2 linked regions of the Daphnia pulex genome follow. Each later gene encodes a partner of the first gene's protein in a complex. Links are inferred from orthologs where the notes say so. Each region holds a gene or a part of one and is shown on either strand. Other genes may lie near its edges.

Region 1 (11,578 bases):
CCAAGTCGTTTTCAGTGATGACCACGGGAGCGCCAGACGCGGGTCCCTCGAGAAGATAGACATGCACCAATTGCATAGCAAAGCCAAGTGCTAATATAGAAGATCCAATGCCAGCATTAAGGGCTTGCTCTAACACAGAAGCTAGTTGCATGTCAAATTGCTGCAAGTTTATGAGATGAGCTCGCACAAGGCAGTCAAGAATATCGAGATTGTATCGAAACTCTTCTCGACATTCGGCCCAGCATCGCGTCACCTGACGATTAGTCCATTGAGGTCCTAAAAACAGGAAAAATGGGTTTAAAAAATATAACATAAACAACATCAATCAAATAATAATCATTAAAAATAATCATTTAGATTTACTGACCATAAGCCTGGGGATCTTGCAAGGCTTTCAAAACCAGCAAATGTGCGTCGCGGAAACGGACGACGGCTTCCGGATCATTTCCGGTCGTAGCGAAACTGGTTAAGCTCTCCACCAGTCCTTCGAAAGCTTTTTGAAGTAAAGTAATATGTGCTCCGTGTTCACGTGAAGAACGAGCCAAAATGACAGCTTCCAATAGAGAGCCAATCGCAACTGCTTGCGTTGAGCTGCCCAATGGCAACAGTGATTGCAAGAAACGCTCCAATTCCATGGCGACTTTTTCCAAAATGACCCCAATTTCATCGTTGGTAAACGTGGGGATCATCTTAGGCACAAGCATGGCTGCATCTCGTTCGGTGACAGGTAAGAATCCAGGGATGTATCGGGCAAACTCCTCATATACGGCAGCTTGTTGGGGTGTAACGCCACTCATTTTCAAACGAATGGGTTCCGGCATTCGATCGGCCTGAATAATAAAAGATATATTTTTGTAACGTTTAGTTTGCCAGACGTAAAATAAGAGACGTGTGTACCTGATAGGCGAAAACAGCGGGGTCGTAGTATCTCCTGCCTTCGTTTCGAGCGTGCTTGCGTAAATCGAACTCCGTGGCAAGGCGTTTATCGATTTCCGAAATGGATTTCTCTACGGCTGTCTTTTGGATAAACGCACACGCTGGTTCAACGTTATCTTGAGCGGTCAAAGTGGCTGCTTGTTCAACCAACTCCTTCTGTTGAGGGCTGGTGCTCCTCTGCAAGGCAGCAGAAAATGCTGTCTTGAGATTGTTTGCAATCGTCAATAGCAAATGATCTCGGCAGCGAATCAATGCCGTGCCTAAATATACACAATTTTAATATAAATTCTATATACATCAACAAATTTAAACGAGACATACCTGCACTGAGACTGCGAACCATGTGATGAGCAGCAGCGCGCATGCGGGTGTCATCCGCGTCGAGTGAAAAGTCTTTCTTTATGATTTGCTCACAAGTGGTCAAGGCTATTTTCATAGACCAATCAACAACTGGATGAATACACTCTTGAACAGCTCGTTCAACAGCTGGTCGGATAAGGATCCTTAAATTCGGATGCGCCGTCAACAGCGGTATGTTATTATTAACTACTAGATGCTGAGCTAGTCCGGCCAACGAAGTGACATTGATGTCCAAATAAGAAAACCTCGGATCAGGAGGGCCTTGAATTGCGTGGGCTGGTGTTGGAGTAGTTGTGCCAGGCTGGGATTGCATTTGTTGTGCAGGTGAGCCAGCAAGTTGTGGCGGTGGTGGTGGCTGCTGCTGCTGCTGTTGTTGTTGTTGTTGCTGCTGTTGTTGTTGTTGTTGCTGCTGCTGCTGCTGTTGTTGTTGTTGTTGCTGCTGCTGCTGTTGAAGTTGCTGCTGCTGCTGCTGAATGATTTGCAATTGTGGTGCTGGTTGATACATTTGCTGTAATTGCGGCTGGGACAACTGCGGTTCCAAACGTGACAGACGATTGTGATCCTTGAAGACTACTCCCGGCTTAAGATCGTGAATATCAATGGCTAGAGTTTTGCAAAGAACTTCGACTTCAAATTTAAGATTAAGTTTCAAGTCAGGCTCCTGATGTAGTTCTGCCAAAACATTCATGATTCCTAGGGTCCATGGATTGGGTGGTTTGAACACTTTGCTCTTAGCACATGACTCTAAGACTTTCGCCACGAATGGTACGACGTACAGAAGTTCTTGTTGCCCTTTGTGATACGCTTCGACTAGAATTGATTTTAAATCAATATCTCCCTGAATATTAAATGAAGTTGCAGTTTAGCAAAATTGGTACACAATTTAAAAATAAAATAATGAATTACCTGTAGAATCGGCCGGTTTTTAGATAGCATCAAAAGTCCAAGCCAATGACCAAGATTTTTCAACAGTGTGCGATCTGAGAAATTTGCTATTCCCTTGTCACTACGAAGGAGTACCTTGATATTGCGGAACGTCTCACCAATGACAAGTCGACTGAGCTCGGATAGCTTCAGTGTGTCAAGGAAGTTTGAATAGAGTGTGTGAAAATTTGGTTCAATTGAAGCTCTTTTCATCACCAGATACTGGGCTACCCAAGACCAATGTTCTTCACCCACAATGTCACGCAATTCTTCGCACTTTTGCGTCAGGTTTAATTGACTCAGATTATTAAATATGAAGCTGACTTTGTCTTGGACGCTCTCTGGTGGGTCTACAATTAAGACGTCTTTCTCCGAAGCAACCAGCAATGTGTCGATGTTGGTCGCGTTTGCTATTGACGGTCGACCACTCATAGGTGCAGCAGTAGAGGTCGTTTTACCAGCAACCGTTGTAGTTGGCGTAGTCGGAGTAGTGGTTTTGGCAGCTGTCGTCACTTGAGGTAAGACTGGACCATGAGGACGATTGGGTGGCTCGACGCCACGGGAGCCATTATCGATATACTCGATTAGATGCGGCGGGAACTCCCGAAAATGCGGAATGCTGGCCAAATGTTGACAATATTGCGGATATTCCTTCAATCTATGTCTGAACCGATCTAAGGCAGTGATCCCAAAATAGTACATCTTCGTCCCGTGTGGTTTCCGGACAGCTTCAAGTACGTAACGTAGTGCCACTCCCAGAGCCATGTAGGTGACGAGACCATGCTCCATGATTCCACCAAACAACTGAGCCGTTATGTGCAGCTCGCGATCTGGATACTGAGGGAAGAAACGATACTCTTCGAATAGATTCCTCAACATGCAGTCAAATATCTCCCGTTCACGGCGGTTAGTCGAATGTTGAAACTTCTTCAAAAGTTCAAGAACTTCATCGACTGTCAAGGTAGGCGTTGAAGGCGATTGGTTGTAAATCCGCTGGAAATAACTATTTGTCTCGTCTTCGATATCCTTTGTTACACAAACACGAATGCGTCCATTAGGTGTGGGGAAAATAAAAATAAAAAAAATATTAGCTTACTTTTGAAACAGCTTGTGGCATGTCAGCAAAAGCACTAGATACATCGCCGGTTCTTCGTTCTTGGCCTAGGTGAGGATTCATTCCTACTCGAACAGGGCCATTGACAATCGATCCAGGAGAACCAGCCGTACCAGATCCAATATTGCTCGTACCCATACTTGATTGACCGTTCCCGCTTCCACTCGCCATAGAAGATGGAATACCTATGCCCAGTGGATTTGTACTGGATGATCCAGGCATTGCTCCAGTTCCAGTTAATGAAGAAAAAATGGAGAAAGTACTTTGGTTCTGACTCGAGTTGGAATTGTTTGGCATCCCCACAACCGTTGGCTGATTGACTCCTGAAAAGCAAAACAAGTAAATAAATATTAGTTATAAGAATTGGATGAGTCGATTTCGAATGGTGTAATTCATTACCAGTTTCTAGCAAAGACATGCTAGAGAACAATTTTCCAGGCGATCCGGGGGCTGGAGTATTTCCTCCGAGTGTATTGGACCCAATATTAACAGCAAATCCAGATGAAGTTGGTGGACCTAAGCCCATGCTACTAAGGCTGGGCGAAAGACCAGTTGAGTCAACTCCAGGAGGCGGAAATAGTTGGCTGCTTAAGGTTCCTGGTGGAAATGAAACGTCAACTCCAACTCCACTGCCAGGACGGATAGGTTTCAAGACGCCAGGTGGGGGTTGCGCTCGGGCACGATTCAGGACGTTGCAATTCGCAACCATTGTATTTATAGTATCAGATAGTTCTTGAGACACATTTCCAGTCCAAACCTTATGAAGATGCAAATAGAATTTTAGTTTGATCAATTTAAAAAATCTGATTTACAACAAAGAAACATACCTGCAGGCAGGACAACATGATTGCTAGTGTGTCCGAGGGAAGTTGAGTGGGCTTTAGACCAGCTTCTTCTTTAACTTTCCCGGAGATTTGAGGACATCTCTGGTGTAGAAAGTTAACGCATGCTGCAACGAAGGTTTCCCCATGTTCACGCATTTTGTCTGTCAGCCATTTGTCGAGTTTGAGATATTCACGGCGCGATGCTAGACACGAGAGATCGATGACAAAAGGGAAGCGCTGCACATTTAGTAGCATAGATAGAGCCTTTAGGTCCTGGGCTACATCGAGAATTCTTGATAACCGCGCTTGATCGTGTTCAGCTCTCATGTACCACTCAGCCATAGCGTGCATAACCAGAGGTTTGACCAGAGGTGACTGTGCATGCCAGACATGGTGTAGAATGATGGCAGAGTTTGGATGATTGCCCAAAAAAACAGGAATAAGACTGCTGAGCAATTCTTGTCTGAGTTTAGTCATTGGTTGTGTCAGCTGAAGAAGCCCAAGGACTAAAACATCGGGACAGTGTTGAACAGGCTCCTTAAGCAATTCTTGCACCTGGCTGTAAAGCCCGCCGTTTTCCAATAAGTTGAGAAGAGTTTCAAGCAATCCCAGGCATTTCCAACTGGCAAGCTTCTTGTTATCAGGTTCAGGGGGTGATTTCAGAATTTCGACATTAATGGCGTGGTGTGGATAGTCGGCAATGCAAAAGAGATCCGTATTCCTCATTAATTGCGAAAGCAGCGATAGCTGAGCTTCAGCGTTGTTCCATGATTGATACAGCAACTCGGCTGGGAAAGTTGCGCCCTGTGTTTGCAGGCCCAATTGTAGGGCCGTCAGGAGAAGGCGCAATCCTGCTCTATCTCTTATGAGGAAACTAGGGTGGTCCAATTCTGAAACAATTTCTTTCCAGTTTAAACTTGGCACCAGCTCCGTAACAACCTGAAAATGAGCAATTTTGGATAAGAACATACAAAATAAAGAAGTAACAAACATTTCCACTACCTGGACAAATATTTCCATGTTCCATGAGGTAGGAAGGCCTTCGTCGCTTTTATCTCCTGAGCTTTCTTGCTCAGGCCATGATTGTGATGTACCATTTCTCAAGTGTCTTAATGAATGTTCGTCCAATCCGCTGTGCGTGCGAACCATGTAGATTATTGCACGAGCTACCGATGTGGGAGACAATTCGCGAAAACCGAAGGTCGTGATATTTGCACGGCATTCTTCGAGACTTGATGTGAATGGGTATCCAGTTTCAAGGATCAAATCGGCCAATGATGTTTCGACCATATTCTTGGTCAAACTGTTAGTTTCGTGTGCCATCTTATGACAAGTGTAGTCTACCCCTTGCTCCTTGTAAAGGATTGGGGCTAAAATCACAGGGACCAATTCACGAGGATAGTCACGGCGCAAGCAGCTCAATACGTCCTCTAAAAGGTCTTTGCTTATTCCAAATGTATCCGGCTCGTTGATCAATCGACTAAGAATGTAGTGAATGACTTCAGGAGACGATTCCTATACAAATACATTAGAAATTATACACGAACACATTAAACTTGCTTACGCTTTACCTGTAGTCCTCCTTCCAACGGGGCAGTATTCCTATCTTGATCAGCAAAATTTTTCAATAGTTCACTAAGTTTCTGGCGAATAATTAGTATAGACTGTGAACGCGCTTCAGGGTTGAATGTTTCTAAAAGAGCAATCCTAAGAACCACCTCTTGGCTTCGTGACAGTCGCAAAAACCGACAGAAATTGCTGATAACTGCCGAATTGCTTTTGAATTGTTGTTGAACACTTCTAGTAAAGTTGCTTCTCAATGGCTGTTCAAGGGCACTATTCAGAAGACTAGGGAATGCTGGCTGGGTGATGCAATGTCCAAAAAAATCAGCCAGAAGCTGCTCTCTTTCCTTCTCCTTGCCTGGGTTATTTGACTTGACAGATGATGAACTTTCACCGTTTCCTAACCCCACAAAGTCAACTCCAGCAAGACAGCAACAAAGAAGATGTCTTTCAGCTTCAATACCATAAATGGTAACTAATTCTTCAATGCTTTAATAAATATCAAAATTAACATGATGTTTTTCAATAAAATTGAATTTTCTAACCTATTTCTAGATTGAAGATAGTTCTTTTTGTTGAGGCTGTTGACCAGGTATTGGATCTGTGTCAGCGCCAGTGACAGTGAGTCTAGGCTCATAGTTCCATGAAAGACAGAGGGCTGGCAGGTGAAAGCTTCAAAGCCCAGGAAAATGGCCTTTGAAGCTTCCCTCTGTGGCCGACACTGACATTAGCAACCACTCACGAAACACTTTAGGTCAGCAACTGTCGAAACCTGAAAAGAAAAAAATGTTGGAAGAAACTCATTGATTGACTAAAGATACATGTTGAAATATTTTGACATCAAGAGTATCATAAAAATAATAACAGGAATTGACAATAACATTAAAAACTTAAACTAAAAACTTTGTCTATTATTTGGTAAATGGCCATTGTTTACCGCACGATCAAGCTTTGGCTTCTTGCCTAAACAAAGAAATTGTTCAAGAGGTCATTGCGATTGGACAAGTTAACATTGGCCGATTGAAATGGGGAAATTCGGATTTAATTAAAATACAACATACCAGTGATTTTTACTTTTTTTCTTAAAATGATTTATAAATTTCAGCTTGAAATGTTCAAACGAAATAATCAAACAAATTCAAACCAATATGGCTGCACGATCAACCTGAACCTGAACAAAAAAATCAGCTGGCCACAAGAAATTTGGAATGAAGATGAAGCCGAACAAATTCAGCCTATTTCGTCAACGCCTCTAGCGGTAGAGAAGAGAATTTTTAGCTTTCTTTCGGAAAAACTCAAAAAAGGTTGACAAAAATAAAGTAAGTATAAAATACAGAATTTGTTAGGCTCATTATTTGTTTTGAATATATTTTACATAAATTTTTCCGTCAGAAATTATATCTACTATGCAAAATGAAGGGATGACTCAATGTCAATGTAACTCATGCGCTGGCAGTAGTACACTTTATACACTCATTCTTTGCGACCGACGTCTTATTTTCTGAAATTTTTATATTTCAATAATAAAATTTAAAATATGAAAACATTAATACATTCCATAATATATTTACAGTGATTTTTCATTTTAATAGCTAGCGCTTTTTAAAAATTTTAATGTAATGTATAGATGGCGTCCGGAAAGGTTTTCCAGTGTGGTCACCAAAAAGTTTACGAGTACAAACACCAAGCCTGACTTATTGTGAACAAAAAAGAAAACTAAACTGCGCCATATTAAAGCTTGGCTTCCTTCATCGCAGCCCTCCAAAATCTCCCGCCGTTCCAACTGAAAAAATTTATTAACTACTAGGGCTCTACTGTCTTCAAGAAAACCATCGTCAGGGCTGTTTACAACAGCAACAATTCTAATTTTTTGCGTTCAAGAAGGGTTATTTTAAACTCTAAATTCGCAAGGATTTCAGGAAAATTAGACTGAATTTTGGTAAGGTTAAATTACTACCACAAACAAAACAGGTCACTTCCATTTCTTTTGCGACGAGGCTCATACTAAGTTCGAAAACGGTTTTTTTTTTATTCGATTAGTTGCTACAAACAGGGGTGTTATTGGCTACATGTGTTCTTCATTGGAACATAGACTGATTGGAACATTTGACAATGCTCAAAACATGTCACTGCAGCCATGTGTGTATTTTGAAAGAGGCTATTGTCGAAGAAGAACTTAATCATGAAATTCTTCTAAAGGCATGGGTTGGAATTCTGCAGAATCAAAACATCGAAGGAGAAAAATGCTGTGGTGATGCTTTTGTAGTCTGCGATAAACAGACAAATAGGATGTGATTCAAGAAGTGAAATGTTGTGCAAGTGTCAACGGAACACAGTACCAACTTAGAATTAATGCATTTTTAAAGTTAGTGTTAATACTTCGTCATCTTCATTCTTGATTATTCAATGCATGAAGCTGCCCTTTGTCCATTCAATCTCAGTTTCCACAAGCTGTATAGTTTCTTTGAAACATGATGTGTGGTGCTGGAATCTCAGTTCTTAAAATCCCATGACATGACATCATGCTTCATTTTTTAAATCTGAACCTGTTCAAAGGAACCTACTCTGGAACCCCCTCATGCAGTTTTTCCTATATTGTATGTTGTGTATGTTGGGTTACCCTTCAATTTTCAGAGGATTTTGTTGAGGTTAAAGAAAAGAAATGCGAGCTGCAGTGTACAAACCATTTTCGAAGTGGGAGCTTTCGACAAAGCAGTAGCGTTTTCTTTTATATAGCAAAGATAATTTCAGTGTTAACTTTTATTTATTTGCTCATGGGGTCGACCTGTTTTCAAAGTACCAGAGATTCTCTAGAAAGTTCAGTAATCTACAGCTTTTTCCTCCAATGAACTGTTGGATTTTTTTTTTTTTTTTCCTATTTTGCATCATTAAAATCCAGAGTGTGTGCTAGGTTTCTTGCCTGGCTGAAAAAAAGCCAAAGCCTTAATTTTCTTTTTTTTTTCTACCATTGGAGACGTCGCAAGTTTCTAAAGTTTGCTTGGCCGGGAAGGAATAAAGAATCGCAGTTGCGTCGAAAACAAATAGGCTGTTTGTGAGGCGGGTTCTTCTGAGTAAAGAAAAAAAAACGAAATCAAAATGTAACTTGATTAGCGATTGATGTAAGTCTGAAGGTGTGCGACACATTTGACGTCACGGCTTAACTGGGTTGGAAAGAGGCGTCTGAATCAAGCCATGTCCATATTTTGAAAAATTTTGAGGTTTTGAGGGTTTTTTTAAGAAACGTTTGTCCCGGTGAGAAAGTCAATGCGATAATCCATCATGGCACTCGATACAAACAACACACGTGACGCACTAACATTGTTTGTTTTTGTTGGAAATGGATTTCGTCGAAAGAAGTGGATTGATTTATTTTGATGTTATAATCTTGAGATATGTTGTTATCACTGGGTGATTACTGATCATTTTACCTTCCACTCCATTCGAATAAAGGGCAACACAGAGGCATCGCACCAGTTATAGCTGATTACGAAATAGGCCGCATGCAACTGAGTCGGCGTTAAATTCAGAAGTGACCGTCGAAGAAAAAGAAGAAGAAATCAAGAGTGAAGATGAGTGTCATTATTCGACTACAGAACTTGCCTTGGTCGGCCAACGCTGCAGATATTCGACAATTCTTCCATGGTCTATCCATACCAGAAGGGGGCGTGCATATAGTCGGGGGGCAACTAGGCGACGCGTTTATCGCATTCAGGTAACAATTCAACGACCCCAATATCTTAATAACCAACATTGATAAAGTATAACGGTGAAGCAACACGACGCTTTCAAAATATTGATCGCACATGCGTTACCAGTGTTGTTGTTTTTTCTGAAAACGAAACATTAATGTCTATCTTTCAATTTAAATTTAGTACTGACGAGGATGCGCGACAAGGAATGGCATCGGACGGTGGTATGTTGAAGGACTCGCGAGTCAAGCTGTACTTGAGTTCTCGAACGGAAATGCAAAAGATCATTGAAGAGACACGACAGCAGCACTTGGCTATGCAAGGCGCTGCTAGCGGAGGAAGCAACATGGCTCCTACGTCAGCAGTTCAGCGCCCTTTTACAGGAGGCCCCTTTGCTCCTAGTGCCGCTCCTGCCGCCCATAGCAATCCCCCTATCAGCGGACCACCTGGACTACGAGCAACATCCAGCACCAGTGGCAGCAATTTCCATATGCACATGGATCCTAGTCAGGGCCATCCAGGGGGCTATGATCATCAAATGTATCCACAACCACAAAGTCATCAACCATATAACCCAAGTCAAAACATGTTGGCAGGTGGTGGGCAAAATCCTGTTCATGCCGGTGGTTTCCCGCCTCACATGAACCCTTCACAGACTTACGCTCCCCACTTGCCGCAAGGAGGACCTCATATTCCACAGCATTTCGGTCCGCGTATGAGAGAAGTTATTGAGGAGCCTCCCTTATTACCGTATGGCGGTGGCCAGCAAATGTTGCATGGAACCGGTGGGGACATGCAAGATGTGTATGCTCACGGAGGGCCGCAACGTTTTGACCAGAATCGCCGCAATTCTCGTGACACTCCCCCAGACGTCCAGGATAGGAATCGCGATATGGGTCGTGCTGGTTACAGAAGTAAAGAGCGCAGTCGAAGAGACAGACAAGATCGCGACAAAGAAAGAGGTTCAGACATGAGTAGACGTGGAAGGAGGAGTCGCAGTCGTAGCGGAAGTCGCGGTCGTGGCCGAGATCGCCGCCGTCGAAGTCGCTCGGATAGTCGCGAGAGGGCTAGAAACTCACGGGATCGTGACCGTGATCGGAAACTCAGCAAATCAGGACTTCTTCCTACTCCGGCCGAGGAACTGGAAGCCAATCAACAAAATGAAAATGTGCCGGATACTTCTGTTCAGTTACGTTTGCTGACTGGAGACTTGACTTACCGAGACATTAGAGATTATCTTAGTGGAATTAATGTCCCAAACACATGCATCAAAATGATCAACGCATTGGATGGCTATCGATTCGGTCTGGCGTATATTCGATTCACTTCCAATGAAGACAAATTAAAAGCGCTTACCCGCCACAATGGTAAAGAAAACTTAAGTCAATTTTATTCGTGAATTAAAATGGAATTAATTTGTTGTGTATTTTTTTTTTTTTTTTTTTGTTTTAGGTACGATTCGTGGCTATCCTGTTCAAATATTCAATGTTAAGGATTCGACATTTAACCAGGCGATTGATTCTTTCTCACCTGGAATTAGTCTTGATGCCAAGAGTTTATCGAATTCTTGTCTTTCATTGAGAGACTTCCCACCGGTTGCGACAGCACAAAATGTCAAAGAAGCTTTTGGTACGATCTCGATTGGTCAGGTGCTGCCAGAGCGGAACGAGAGCGGAACCGTCACCGGACTTTGCTTTGTTGAACTCCGGAGTGAAGCCGATGCTCGCAAAGCCATCCAACTCCTGAAAGACGGTGTCATGATCTGCGGCCGTCAAGTCAAGGTGGCCTTTCTTCCCTTGGAGGAATTACATGTCTGCTCCAAAAATCTTGAACGCTTCCGTGGCGTTGTCGGCGCTGTGATGACCACCCCTCCAACTCAAACTGACAGTCCACTTTCACCTGGTCAATCTGCTCCTCATCGTCCTCCTGCAAGCAACAGACCAGGTCCCCCTTTCGTTGATCGTTCCCAAAGCGGCGGCAATGGTTCTTACGATGCGCCACCGAATCAGCGAGGTCGTCTTTTTGTCGGTCCACAACGTGTCTTCATTACGGGTTTGCCTCCATCTGCCCTGGAACGCGATATTGGCGATTTCTTCTCAGACGTTGGCGTCATTCCGCAGATCATTGAAATCGTCTACGATGAAGAACGTATGCCCGTCGGAAACGCT
Region 2 (10,970 bases), on another chromosome or scaffold:
ATCAATTGCATACCTGCTATATTAGATGGACGTGATTGTATCGGATGTGATCGAACTGGAAGTGGCAAAACGTTTGCTTTCGCCTTACCCATAGTTCAAACGCTGAGCAAAGATCCTTATGGCATCTACGCTCTAGTTCTGACTCCAACAAGAGAGTTGGCGTATCAAGTAGGCTACATTATTTTCATTACTTTTGCTATCACAACACTATCAATGCCAAATATTTTGTAGATTGCAGATCAATTTCAGATCATCGGGAAGCCAATCAATTTACGAATGTCAGTAATTGTGGGTGGCATGGGAATGATGGATCAAGGCATAGAACTTTCAAATCATCCTCACATAGTCATTGCCACACCTGGCAGGTAATTTTTTATTCATTCTACTACAGTTCCTTTTGGCTTCATTTAGCATTTTCTCTGATAAAGACTAGCAGATCACTTGGAAAGCTGCAAAACATTTTCTTTTAAAACTATTAAATATTTAGTGATGGATGAAGCTGACAGGTTACTGGAAGGGAACTTTGATGAGCAGGTTGTGAAAAGAATTACACACTCTTTTTAAGTACCAGCAATTACTGATTCATAAATCTTGGGTACAGTTGCAGATCATCTTTCAATCCTTACCAGAAAAAAGACAAACATTACTCTTTAGCGCCACCATAACAGATACACTGAACAAACTTCGCGAAGTCGCATTAAATAAAGTAAGTAAAATCTTCAGTATATTTCTTAGAGCGTTAGTCGTTGCATCACTAAAAATATGCGTCATGTTCTAATAGCCATTCATGTGGTCGGCCCCGGTTGAAACTGCGACAGTGGAAGAGCTGGATCAAAGGTATATTCTCGTACCAGCGGATTTCAAGGATGGATACCTGGTTCACGTTGTCCAAAACTTCCGAGAAGAGAAACCCAAAGGATCCATTATAGTTTTTACAGACACATGCAGGTGATATAACATTTTCTTTAACAACCCAAGTGATATCTAAAATAGAACACCAATCTATTTCTCTGATTATAAAGGAGTTGCCAAATTTTGAGCATGACTTTACTGGAACTGGGCTTTCAGAGTTTGTGCCTACATTCCATGATGAGTCAACGCGAACGGATAGCTACATTGACAAAATTCCGTTCGAATACCGTCAAAATTCTTGTGGCTACCGACGTAGCCAGCCGAGGTAAATACTTTCACTTCTCTTTTAACACGAGCTTGTAAACACTCTTGAATGTTTCAGGACTGGATATTCCCACGGTTCAGCTTATCGTCAATCACAATGTTCCTTCAAACCCCAAAGAATACGTGCATCGCGTCGGTCGTACTGCTCGTGCCGGTAGAGGAGGTTTTTCACTGACGTTAATCACCCCCAACGATATCAAACTGCTCCATGCTATTGAAGGGCGCATTTGTAAAGAGCTTAAAGAGTTCAAGATTAAAGGTATGGATTTGCTGAAATTTATTTTTAAGTCGAAGAAGTAACATCTTAAAAATTTTATTTTATACTCGACAGAAAAAGAAGTTGTCAAAATCTTAACGCAAGTGGCTGTAACGAAAAGAGAGCAGGAAATCAACTTGGACGAGCAAGATTTTGGTGAAAAGAAAAGAATCAATAAGAGGAAGAAATTGATAGAGAAAGGGCTTAGTCCTGAAGAAGCCGATCGCGAAATCGAGGCTGATATCGAGTGGAAAAGGAGGAAAGGGGACAAGAATTCTAAATTTAAAAAAAGCAGAGACTCCCGGAAAAGGGATTCAGAAGAAGCTTCAACCTCATCTGCCACGAATATTCTTGTTGAATCGGATTAACGCTTGTAATATTAACGACGAATACAATTCTCAAATCGTTTTTTTTTTTGCTATTTAGATTTGACGAAACGGGCTCATCGTTTTCATCCAACTTTATTAATGCTGACATTTTCGAGTTGATTAATGTCTGTCGGATCAATTAATTTTCTTTAGAATAGCCTGTTTTTTTTTTTTTTTTTTTTTTTTTTTTTTCTGGTAGACATTTCTAAATTAACCGCAAACATTCAGATTGCTGATGGCTGATAAAATATCAAATACCGTGCGTTTTTACCAAGCTCCTTAACAGAATTGCCGAGGCGGCAGGCCCGCAGAAGGGGCGGCGGCGTGCGAGCGATGGAATCCTTTTATTTTAACCTGGCAACGTTAATTTTTTTGAAAAGACAAAACCGTGTCTGACCAAGTCGTGTCGCTGTCACCTAAATATTTGCCTAAAAATTTGGATGATTTGATTTATGAGAAGCTTGGAAGGATTATTCCAGTTAATCTTAGGAAATGTCTTCGAAAAACCGTACAATTCAAAATTTTATTACCTTAGTTCCTGATTACATCCGATCGAAGAGTGAAAGACATGAATCCGAAATTCAAAGGTGCCTTCAGGTAACTGCTTCAATGATTTGGATAGGAAAAAGTATTACATTTTCATTTATTTTTGTTATTTAGGTTTTGTGTCTTATGGAAAACCTTACACTTTTTGATACTCCCCAAGGATATACTACAGAATTTTTTATCAATGTTAGAGAGCTTTTAAGAACATGCGACAACAAATCTAATTTGGGGTGGAAGGGAATAGATATGGTCAAACATTTGAGTTCAAATTCTTCTATTTGTGAGCTTCTTTGTCAATTTCAATTTGTTCCAGTTCTCTCCCACTATCTTCAAGGGCAATTGGAATCTGATAAAGCTGTCTTATTGCTCTCTTTGCTAGAGACATTAACTGATGGAATAATTGTAGACCGATCAGGGTACTGGCTTAGCAATATTTTAAAATATCTTACTAGTGCTATCTTGGAGAAATCAGACTACACACTACCTCATCTGCTTGCTGTTTTATCCAATTTATGCTTTGAAAACTATGTTGTGGTCAATGAATTGCAAAGGACAAATCGTTCTGAAGACTTGCACCAATACCTTGTCCAATTGCAAGCAGATAACCTTTTGCTTCAACTGTATGCATCTCAGGTAATAATCTTTCAGTAAAATTATTTCAAAATAAGATATAATTGATGATTGTTTAATGTTTATTTGTTTTAGGTTTTCTTTAGCTCTCTGGCAATAGGTTCAATCAGTGAATTAATGCTGACCAATTACTTAAAAACAGTACTAGACACACTCACAGTCGGCTTCAAGAGTAGTAACACCAAAATGATCAAGCGAAGTTGCTGTATTTTACTGTGGATGACACGTGATCGCCTAATCCTTGATCTGCTGAAAGCAAATCGTTTCCAACAGCTACTACAGAGTTCTTTGGAAGGCTTGTTCAAGCTTGTTCCAAAATTGCTTACTTCATCTCAACATGCCAGTGATGCAGCCAACTGCATTTTGTTCTACACAACAAAAATACTCCGTACTCAGCTTGTTGTCAACAAGGAGTTCACCGAAGCCTTTATCCCGGCCCTCGTTCCACTTCTTACGAACGCCGCCCTCAACGAAAATTTACTTGAACTTTTGGCTGATTTAACAAACATCACACCGAGCCTTAACTTAAACGAAGAAAGCCTCGATCGTCTAGTTGTGAATCAACTGAACGATTTTAAGAATCCTGCCTGCAAGACATCTTGCAAAATTCTTGGACATGCCTTGCAGATTCTAAAAAATATCCTTTTCAAAAATTTTATACATATTAAGATTATTTACACATAATTGTAATACTGAACATTATTTCCTTAACTTGTTGATTCAATTTTGCACAGCTTTACAAAGTTCAACCTTCCAACATCCGGGTTGCATCGATGCTCAAACCGGAAACCTTTGTCAAAATCGTTTCCGTTTTTACGGATTTCGGCGAAGAAGTGGACCAGAAGAACTCCGACTTGACCCTCATCCCCAATCCTGCCGTTGTTTCACGTTATTCTCCAGAATCTAGAATCATTGTTGTCCAGTGTCTTACACTGTTCGGAGATATTGCTTTCCGAGAAAGAGACCAACTACCAATTTACAGTGATTTGCTGACAAAACCTAATGTGCAACAGTGCCTAGCATCTGCAATCGTACTTGGTGACTGTCACCTCAAACAAGACGCTTTAGCTCTTATTGGTACAGTAGGGTTTAATCGCGAAAGGTAAATTTAATTTGAGACAACAGTTCTATTATTGAAATGATTTTAACGATATTTTAACAGCTTAGCTGGTCTGTCGTATGCTATGGATCAGTTGTACTCCCGACGTGGCAGCGTTACCGATGAGAAGGATCCATTGGTAAACCGTTCAATTTTGAACGTGACCATGTCTCCTGAACAAATAAAGAAACTGGACAAAATCACACAAGACATGAAACACGACAAATTTTGGGAGGTAATAAAATCTGCTTAAGTTTGGTACATGCTTGTATGATATCTAAAAAAAAAATTATGAATTCAGACGATGAAAAATTGCGACGTGGTTGAATTGATGGAGTTACAAATTGCACGACGAGAGCGGGAAGAACTTCGATTGCTACACCAGCTGGATTCGTATAAACAAGAAGTCGATTCATTAAAAATAAATATCATTCAAATTGGAGCTGAGGTAAATCAGGATTTCAAAATATGACATCTTCCCTCGTTTTATTATTTTTGTTTTACATTTTAGAATGAACGGATAATGGCTATGCTCCTCAGCAAAACTCAACTCATTGAAAGCAAAGAGTCGGAGAACCGAGCTATTTCGAGGCGTCTTGAAAAAATGACCGATACGCAACGAGCCAATCAGCATGACTGGACAAGAGTAAACCTACACACACATTTAAGCAGGAAAAAAAATTAACCAACAAACCTTTGAATGTATTCATTAGGAGCGTGAGAGATTGCAAAGGGAAAAGGATAAATTTGAAGTGGCGCAGACTGAAAAAACGAATCAGATCCAATCCCAGCTCGATGGGGCCTTGAAACAAATTAGAAATCTTGTTCAGAAAGGTGAAGATATGGAAGAAGAACTTAAGAAATCGCAAAAATCCTTGGAAGGTAATAACATAGATGTGCATAGAATTTTTTTCTATAGAGATTAATGCCAATTATTTTTATCTTTAATTTGTAGCTGCAAAGCTGGCATACGAGAAAAAATCGAAAGATTTAGACAAACTGTCAAATGAGTTCCAAGAGATCAAGACTAACAGTGATAACCTTGTAAAGTCGCTTCGTAAGAAAGAGAAAGAAAATGAAGAAAAGGATAGAGAAATCATCTCTATGAATCAGGTAAAATGTTCAACTAAAGAAGATATCGGGATCGGACTATCGGGGTTATTTAATTGAAAATTTCCATGTGCTTTCTAGGCAATCAAAAAATCCGAAATGGTGCGTGAAGATTTGGAGGCTCGACTTATCGAATCTGAGAAATCGTGTCAAGAGACCAAGAAGAAACTCACTAAGCTAGAGAAAATTCAAGAATTTATCTATGATTTGTCTTCAGGCAAGAACAAACTCTTCGAGGATAACAAATAATGAACAATTTTAGTAATAGAAATACACAGGTCTGTATTGGTGGAACCTTTTTTGCAACGTCTGAAATACAGAGATATCTTCATTACAATTTTGTGTGTTTGAATAATTCTGCTCTGAATAGTAGAATCATTCCGCGCAAAGAATGGTTTCTCGGTTTAAAAATTAAAAAAACTAATGAAGTGTGTTTGTGAGATATCGCTTAAGACGAATTAGTGGCATCGCCATTGTCGTGGAAGCTGTTACCGTTGACCACAAAAGAATTGCCTAATCCGTAAAGGTGACCGCAGTATTTGGCATCGTCAATGTTATCCTCAAAGAACAACTAGAACGAAGCGTAAAAATGAAAGTTAATTAACCGTAATGAATTGAAAAAAATTAATGCCATTATACCTCTCTCATTTTGAAGAATGCCATTCCTGTTAGTAAGGAATCTGAACCAGCCTGATGTTGGGGACCGATTCTCTCAAGTTCTAGTTGGTCGGCTACTTCTTGCAAACCACCTTTTAGGTTTTTGCAACTCTTCATGAGATACTTGACATCATAGATGGTAGGAAAGTAAATCCTCAGGAGCTCAAAGAACTCACTCTCCTCCTGAGGTAGGTGGTGGTTAGTCAACATTTTCAACATATAGCCAAAGTCATATCCACTGTGGAATGACAACCACTTGATGTTATCCATCAAAACAATCCCAGAAGTCATCATCAGCTCAGCAAAATCTAATGGGTCTATGCCTTCTTCTTCATGTTTTTTGAATTGGAGACCAGAGTTCTGGAGCAGTTCTATACTGTCCTGTGCATACATATCTTCCCTATTAAACAAAGATTAAGATTTATAGTCTTCAGATGAGAAATAATTTGGTTTAGAAACCTTACCCAAGATTAAACTTGAAATTGAATTGCCAGGTAGTGTACCCAGAAGGTGTTTTGCCGTCTTTGTTCAGGAAACTCAAGCCCAGTTGTATGATTTTCAGAAGATCTACATTACACTTTAAAAGCTGGTATTGGTAATCAGCAGGGCTGCGAAATTCACCGATGGGACGGGCAACTACTCCTGGGAACTCAGTATCCATGGCTACATAATTGTATGCTTGTACAATCTGGCGTATATGTCTAAATTCGTCTTCCAAATTGTGAGCCCAGACTTCCCGAATCCCACACTCTTCATTACTAGGATGCATATTTCCTATTTAAAAAAGTAAAAGTGTAAAAATCATTGTCCTAGAAAGTTGATTTAATGAAATAAATAAAGCTAGTTACGATTTATACCAGTTGAAGTTGGCATGGCTATGGATAGTGAAGTTTCAGAAACCCAGTGATCACACTAGATTACACAAAGAATCAAATTCGTATAAACTAGCATATCCAGCAGCACATCACTCGAGCCTTCAAAACAATAAATTGATAAAAGAACCCTACAATTAATTCGATATTAACACCACTAGGTTAAATTTAAAATGATATTTGACACATCGACTCAGTGGGAACTTCACCTGAAATGTTTTCCGAGTTTTACAACAGCCTCTATATATATACAGTGGTGCCATCTTCGAAAATAGCGATAGATTGTTTGACAGAAAAAAACAGCTGACAAACGAAATGCGGCGATAGCCCCTTAATAAATAAAGCGCGAAACAAAATACGGAAAAAATATGGAACGAGTGAACGACAACCCTAAAACGTCAAATTGAACTGCGGAGCGGGAGTTTTCGTTCATTACAAATGTTGAAAACGCAAGACAAATCGATTAACAAAAGGACATATTGACATTATTCAATACTCACAAGTAATTATGTTTTTCAAGGAGTACGTAAACCAAAAATACTTGCCTTTGTAAGATGCTAACTTGCTCAGAGTAAGAACTCTAAAATAGGTTGTAAACAAATTAATTGGAGACTAACTTCAAACCGTACTTCCAAATTCGATCGTTGGTTCCAATCTAATAATCTGGCGGAAGTAATGCCAAACTTAATATTTTTGCAGATATCGCACGCAGGTAGGGCCTATATGATGTTCAAGTTGAATCTTTTGCATGTACGTTCCGCGTTTTAGTGTGACTCCGAGGCGACGTCCAGCGGCAAAGGATCAGGTTCGTCTAAACGGTTTCCAGCTACACCTTTCTTCTTTCTGCCACAGAGAGAAGTCCTCGTGCTTGTGGTTGAACGTAATTTTGCAAGTCAGAACCGAATCACTTCAGCCGGCTATCTAAAAATGGTACGATATTCGTCATTTCTCGTTTATTTACTTGTCTGTATCAAAGTCGCAATTCACTTTTCAATAATCAATTGTGAAAAGTCGGTTTTTTTCTCTCTTTTATGTTTTAATGGCGTACTGTCATTTGACAGAAAGTCACATGGTTGATATGTAAATTTGCTCATACTGAATTTTTTCTTTCTGAGTAAATGGAACCAAATGATCATGTAATCTTTTATAACTTTATGTATTTTTTAGGTCTCACTCAACCCAACCAGAATCTTGAAACATGAGGGTGAAGAAGAGAAGGCTGAAATTGCTCGCTTGTCCTGTTTTGTTGGTGCCATTGCCATTGGTGAGCTGGTGAAAAGCACTCTTGGTCCTAAGGGCATGGACAAAATTCTTGTTGGTGTTGGCCGCAATGAAGGACAAGTAGGTTTAAGATTTTTCTTGTGCTTGATTTTACTTAGTCATTAAATTCCTTTGTTAGGTTGAAGTAACAAATGATGGTGCCACCATTTTGAAAGCAGTTGGAGTTGATAATCCTGCAGCTAAAGTCCTTGTAGACATGTCAAAGACCCAGGATGCTGAAGTTGGGGATGGCACAACTTCAGTGACTGTCCTGGCCTCAGAGCTTTTGCGTGAAGCTGATAAGCTTGTTGAAATGAAGTTCCACCCTCAAACCATCATTGCTGGATGGCGTAAGGCCTCTCAGGCTGCCAAAGAGGCTCTTACTAATGCAGCTATTGATAATGGGTAAGATAGACATAATAGTTTCATTTTGCACAAAAGACCAACACAACATGTATTTGATCAATGTATTGATTTTTTTTAAAATCTCGTTTCATTTATAGGAAAGATGAAGCTAAATTTCGCGAGGATTTAATGAACATTGCTCGAACGACTTTGAGCTCAAAAATTCTTTCTCAGCACAAAGAGTTCTTTGCCAAGATCTCTGTCGACGCAGTTTTACGTTTGAAAGGATCAGGTAACCTTCAAGCTATTCAAATCATCAAAAAGCAAGGAGGTACCCTCACAGATTCCTTCCTCGACACTGGGTTTCTGCTTGACAAGAAACCGGGAGTCAACCAACCAAAGAGGGTTGAAAATGCCCGTATCCTTATTGCCAATACACCCATGGACACAGATAAAATCAAAGTAATTTAAACTTCGATGACTATCAAAGAATTTGAACTTAATCCATATTTTTAGGTTTTCGGCTCACGTATCCGCGTTGATTCCGTTGCTAAAGTTGCAGAATTAGAGTTGGCTGAGAAAGAAAAGATGAAGGAGAAGATTGAGCTCATTCTTAAGCACAATTGCACCGTCTTTATCAACAGGTTTGTCATTCTTTCATAATTCTTTCATTAATTTGAAATTTGCTATCTTATATGGCTTCAGAAATTCTTTTGTTTGTTTATGAAATATTTGAGATTCTGTCAGTTAGCTTATTTATTATCCATGTATTCTAGAATTTCTGTAGTAAATTTTATAATTTATGGTTGATTTTTAAATCAAAAATTTTTTATTTGTGTGATTTTATAGACAATTGATCTACAACTACCCAGAACAACTGTTCGCTGATGCCGGTGTTATGGCTGTGGAACACGCCGACTTTGATGGTATCGAGCGCCTTGCGTTGGTAACTGGAGGTGAAATCGTCTCTACTTTTGGCCATCCCGAACTTGTCAAACTTGGACGCTGTGATCTTATCGAAGAGGTTGAGCAACTTTCACTTTCTGGTAGAAAGAAGAACTCACGTAATTTGTTTTTTAGGTCATGATTGGTGAAGACAAATTGTTGCGATTCTCTGGCGTTCCATTGGGTGAAGCTTGCACACTTGTGTTGCGTGGTGCAACCCAACAGATTCTTGATGAAGCTGAACGTTCAATTCACGATGCTCTGTGTGTTTTAGCTTCGACTGTTAAGGAAACACGCACCGTCTACGGTGGAGGTACTATTTTTGTATTCCATGTTATCCGTCGTGCACCTGGGATTTTACCATTTTATTTCAAAATCCCAAGGTTGCAGCGAAGTACTCATGGCCATGGCAGTATATGCTTTGGCTGCCAAGACTCCGGGTAAAGAATCGATGGCTATGGAGGCTTTCGCCCGCGCTCTTCTCCAGCTACCCGTCGTGATTGCCGACAATGCGGGCTATGACTCAGCCCAACTTGTGTCAGAGCTCCGAGCAGCACATTCAGAAGGGAAAGCCACCTTTGGTCTAAGTATGTCGTCAGAAAATCTTCATGTTGCACATGCAATTCTAAAATGTGTTCATTGATTGTAAATAGATATGGATCTCGGCAAGATCGACTGTATGCAGCAGTTGGGCGTGACTGAATCGTTCGTTGTCAAGCGCCAGGTGCTTGTATCAGCAGCTGAAGCGGCTGAAATGATTCTTCGCGTTGATGACATCATTAAGGCAGCACCTCGCCGTCGTGAACAAGACAGGAGTCATTGTTAAAGTTGCACTGTCGATGCACAGCTTACGTCCTAACTTGAACTCGCATCCAGTTTTTTCCCCCCTTAAGTGGTCCGCTCTTTTTGCTCGAGCCCACTCTTTTGCTTCGTCCTTCTGTACTGGTCCTATAATCTACTACAGCTGATACACTGAACAATTGCTTAGTAAAAGAAGTTAATTCTTGTTCTTCTTTTTTATATTAGTTTCTGCTCTGTTAGTTAATCCAGCTCTAATATACTAAAAGGCTTCTCTTTAGAAAGCTATGGTATTTCCGTACGACTTAAAAATGGAAACGTGAGCACAATCTCATTAGAGCTTGGTGTGTCAAGCTTTCTCGCCCGTGAAGCCATTTTTCCAGTTTCTTTTTCGAGCCGAAATTTTTATCTAAAAGCAACAGCTACTTATTTTTCGTTTACACAGAAGAAGGAATACAAATTGCTTTCAGACTATCATTTTATAGTTCACTTACTCAAACCCAAAAACTCCCTTTCGGCAACTCGCCCTACCGGCGAGGCCGTCGAATACGGAAAAAGAAAATTTTCGTTTCCCTTGGGACGACTCTCCTTTGTTTGTTTGGCAACTGAGCAGCGAGCACTTTTATTTAGTCTTAAGATGGCAGAGAGGCATGAAGGGTGCTGATTGCCTTCCGTTCTGAAAAGTCCGTTTTGCCTGAAGGACTTCCTCCTATTGTGCACTTCAATTTCAACTGTTGGTAGTTGCCGCCGTACATTTGACGTAACTGTGTTACAAAACTTCATCGTAATAAGCATACGATGAAATAGTGATTAAACCGAACTTTAGTGGAATCCGTTTACATAAATGTTGAAAGGCTATTGTTTTTGTTTATGGTGTGATTTGCTCCCGTGTAAAATAATATGTTGCC

The links.
Region 2: CCR4-NOT transcription complex subunit 1-like (region 1) and CCR4-NOT transcription complex subunit 7-like share a complex: the UniProt entries of both Caenorhabditis elegans proteins name them as parts of the CCR4-NOT complex. The link is inferred for Daphnia pulex from reciprocal best matches to the Caenorhabditis elegans genes let-711 and ccf-1.

What each region holds. Positions count from the first base shown.
Region 1 is NC_060019.1:12,272,734-12,284,311, reverse strand, and holds the start of CCR4-NOT transcription complex subunit 1-like, read right to left. Parts: upstream 6,944-11,578; 5' UTR 6,783-6,943; intron 6,494-6,782; 5' UTR 6,359-6,493; coding exon 6,267-6,358; intron 6,211-6,266; coding exon 5,730-6,210; intron 5,674-5,729; coding exon 5,161-5,673; intron 5,098-5,160; coding exon 4,162-5,097; intron 4,092-4,161; coding exon 3,734-4,091; intron 3,658-3,733; coding exon 3,317-3,657; intron 3,247-3,316; coding exon 2,203-3,246; intron 2,135-2,202; coding exon 1,258-2,134; intron 1,197-1,257; coding exon 898-1,196; intron 831-897; coding exon 368-830; intron 277-367; coding exon 1-276. Other genes in the region: RNA-binding protein 12-like, read left to right, coding at 9,291-9,433, 9,594-10,777, 10,863-11,578. UniProt on the Caenorhabditis elegans protein: Scaffolding component of the CCR4-NOT complex which is one of the major cellular mRNA deadenylases and is linked to various cellular processes including bulk mRNA degradation, miRNA-mediated repression, translational repression during translational initiation and general transcription regulation.
Region 2 is NC_060023.1:8,134,913-8,145,882, reverse strand, and holds CCR4-NOT transcription complex subunit 7-like, read right to left. Parts: upstream 7,024-10,970; 5' UTR 6,924-7,023; exon of another isoform or gene 6,817-6,923; 5' UTR 6,716-6,816; coding exon 6,691-6,715; intron 6,617-6,690; coding exon 6,307-6,616; intron 6,243-6,306; coding exon 5,825-6,242; coding exon of another isoform or gene 5,819-5,824; intron 5,757-5,818; coding exon 5,634-5,756; 3' UTR 5,448-5,633; downstream 1-5,447. Other genes in the region: probable ATP-dependent RNA helicase DDX49, read left to right, coding at 1-168, 232-365, 429-534, 602-706, 782-948, 1,023-1,177, 1,235-1,435, 1,508-1,800; uncharacterized protein LOC124197609, read left to right, coding at 2,293-2,397, 2,461-2,979, 3,052-3,613, 3,709-4,078, 4,139-4,310, 4,377-4,523, 4,587-4,721, 4,789-4,957 and 2 more; T-complex protein 1 subunit beta-like, read left to right, coding at 7,642-7,644, 7,882-8,055, 8,114-8,379, 8,478-8,781, 8,836-8,963, 9,169-9,343, 9,400-9,577, 9,648-9,851 and 1 more. UniProt on the Caenorhabditis elegans protein: Catalytic component of the CCR4-NOT complex which is one of the major cellular mRNA deadenylases and is linked to various cellular processes including bulk mRNA degradation, miRNA-mediated repression, translational repression during translational initiation and general transcription regulation.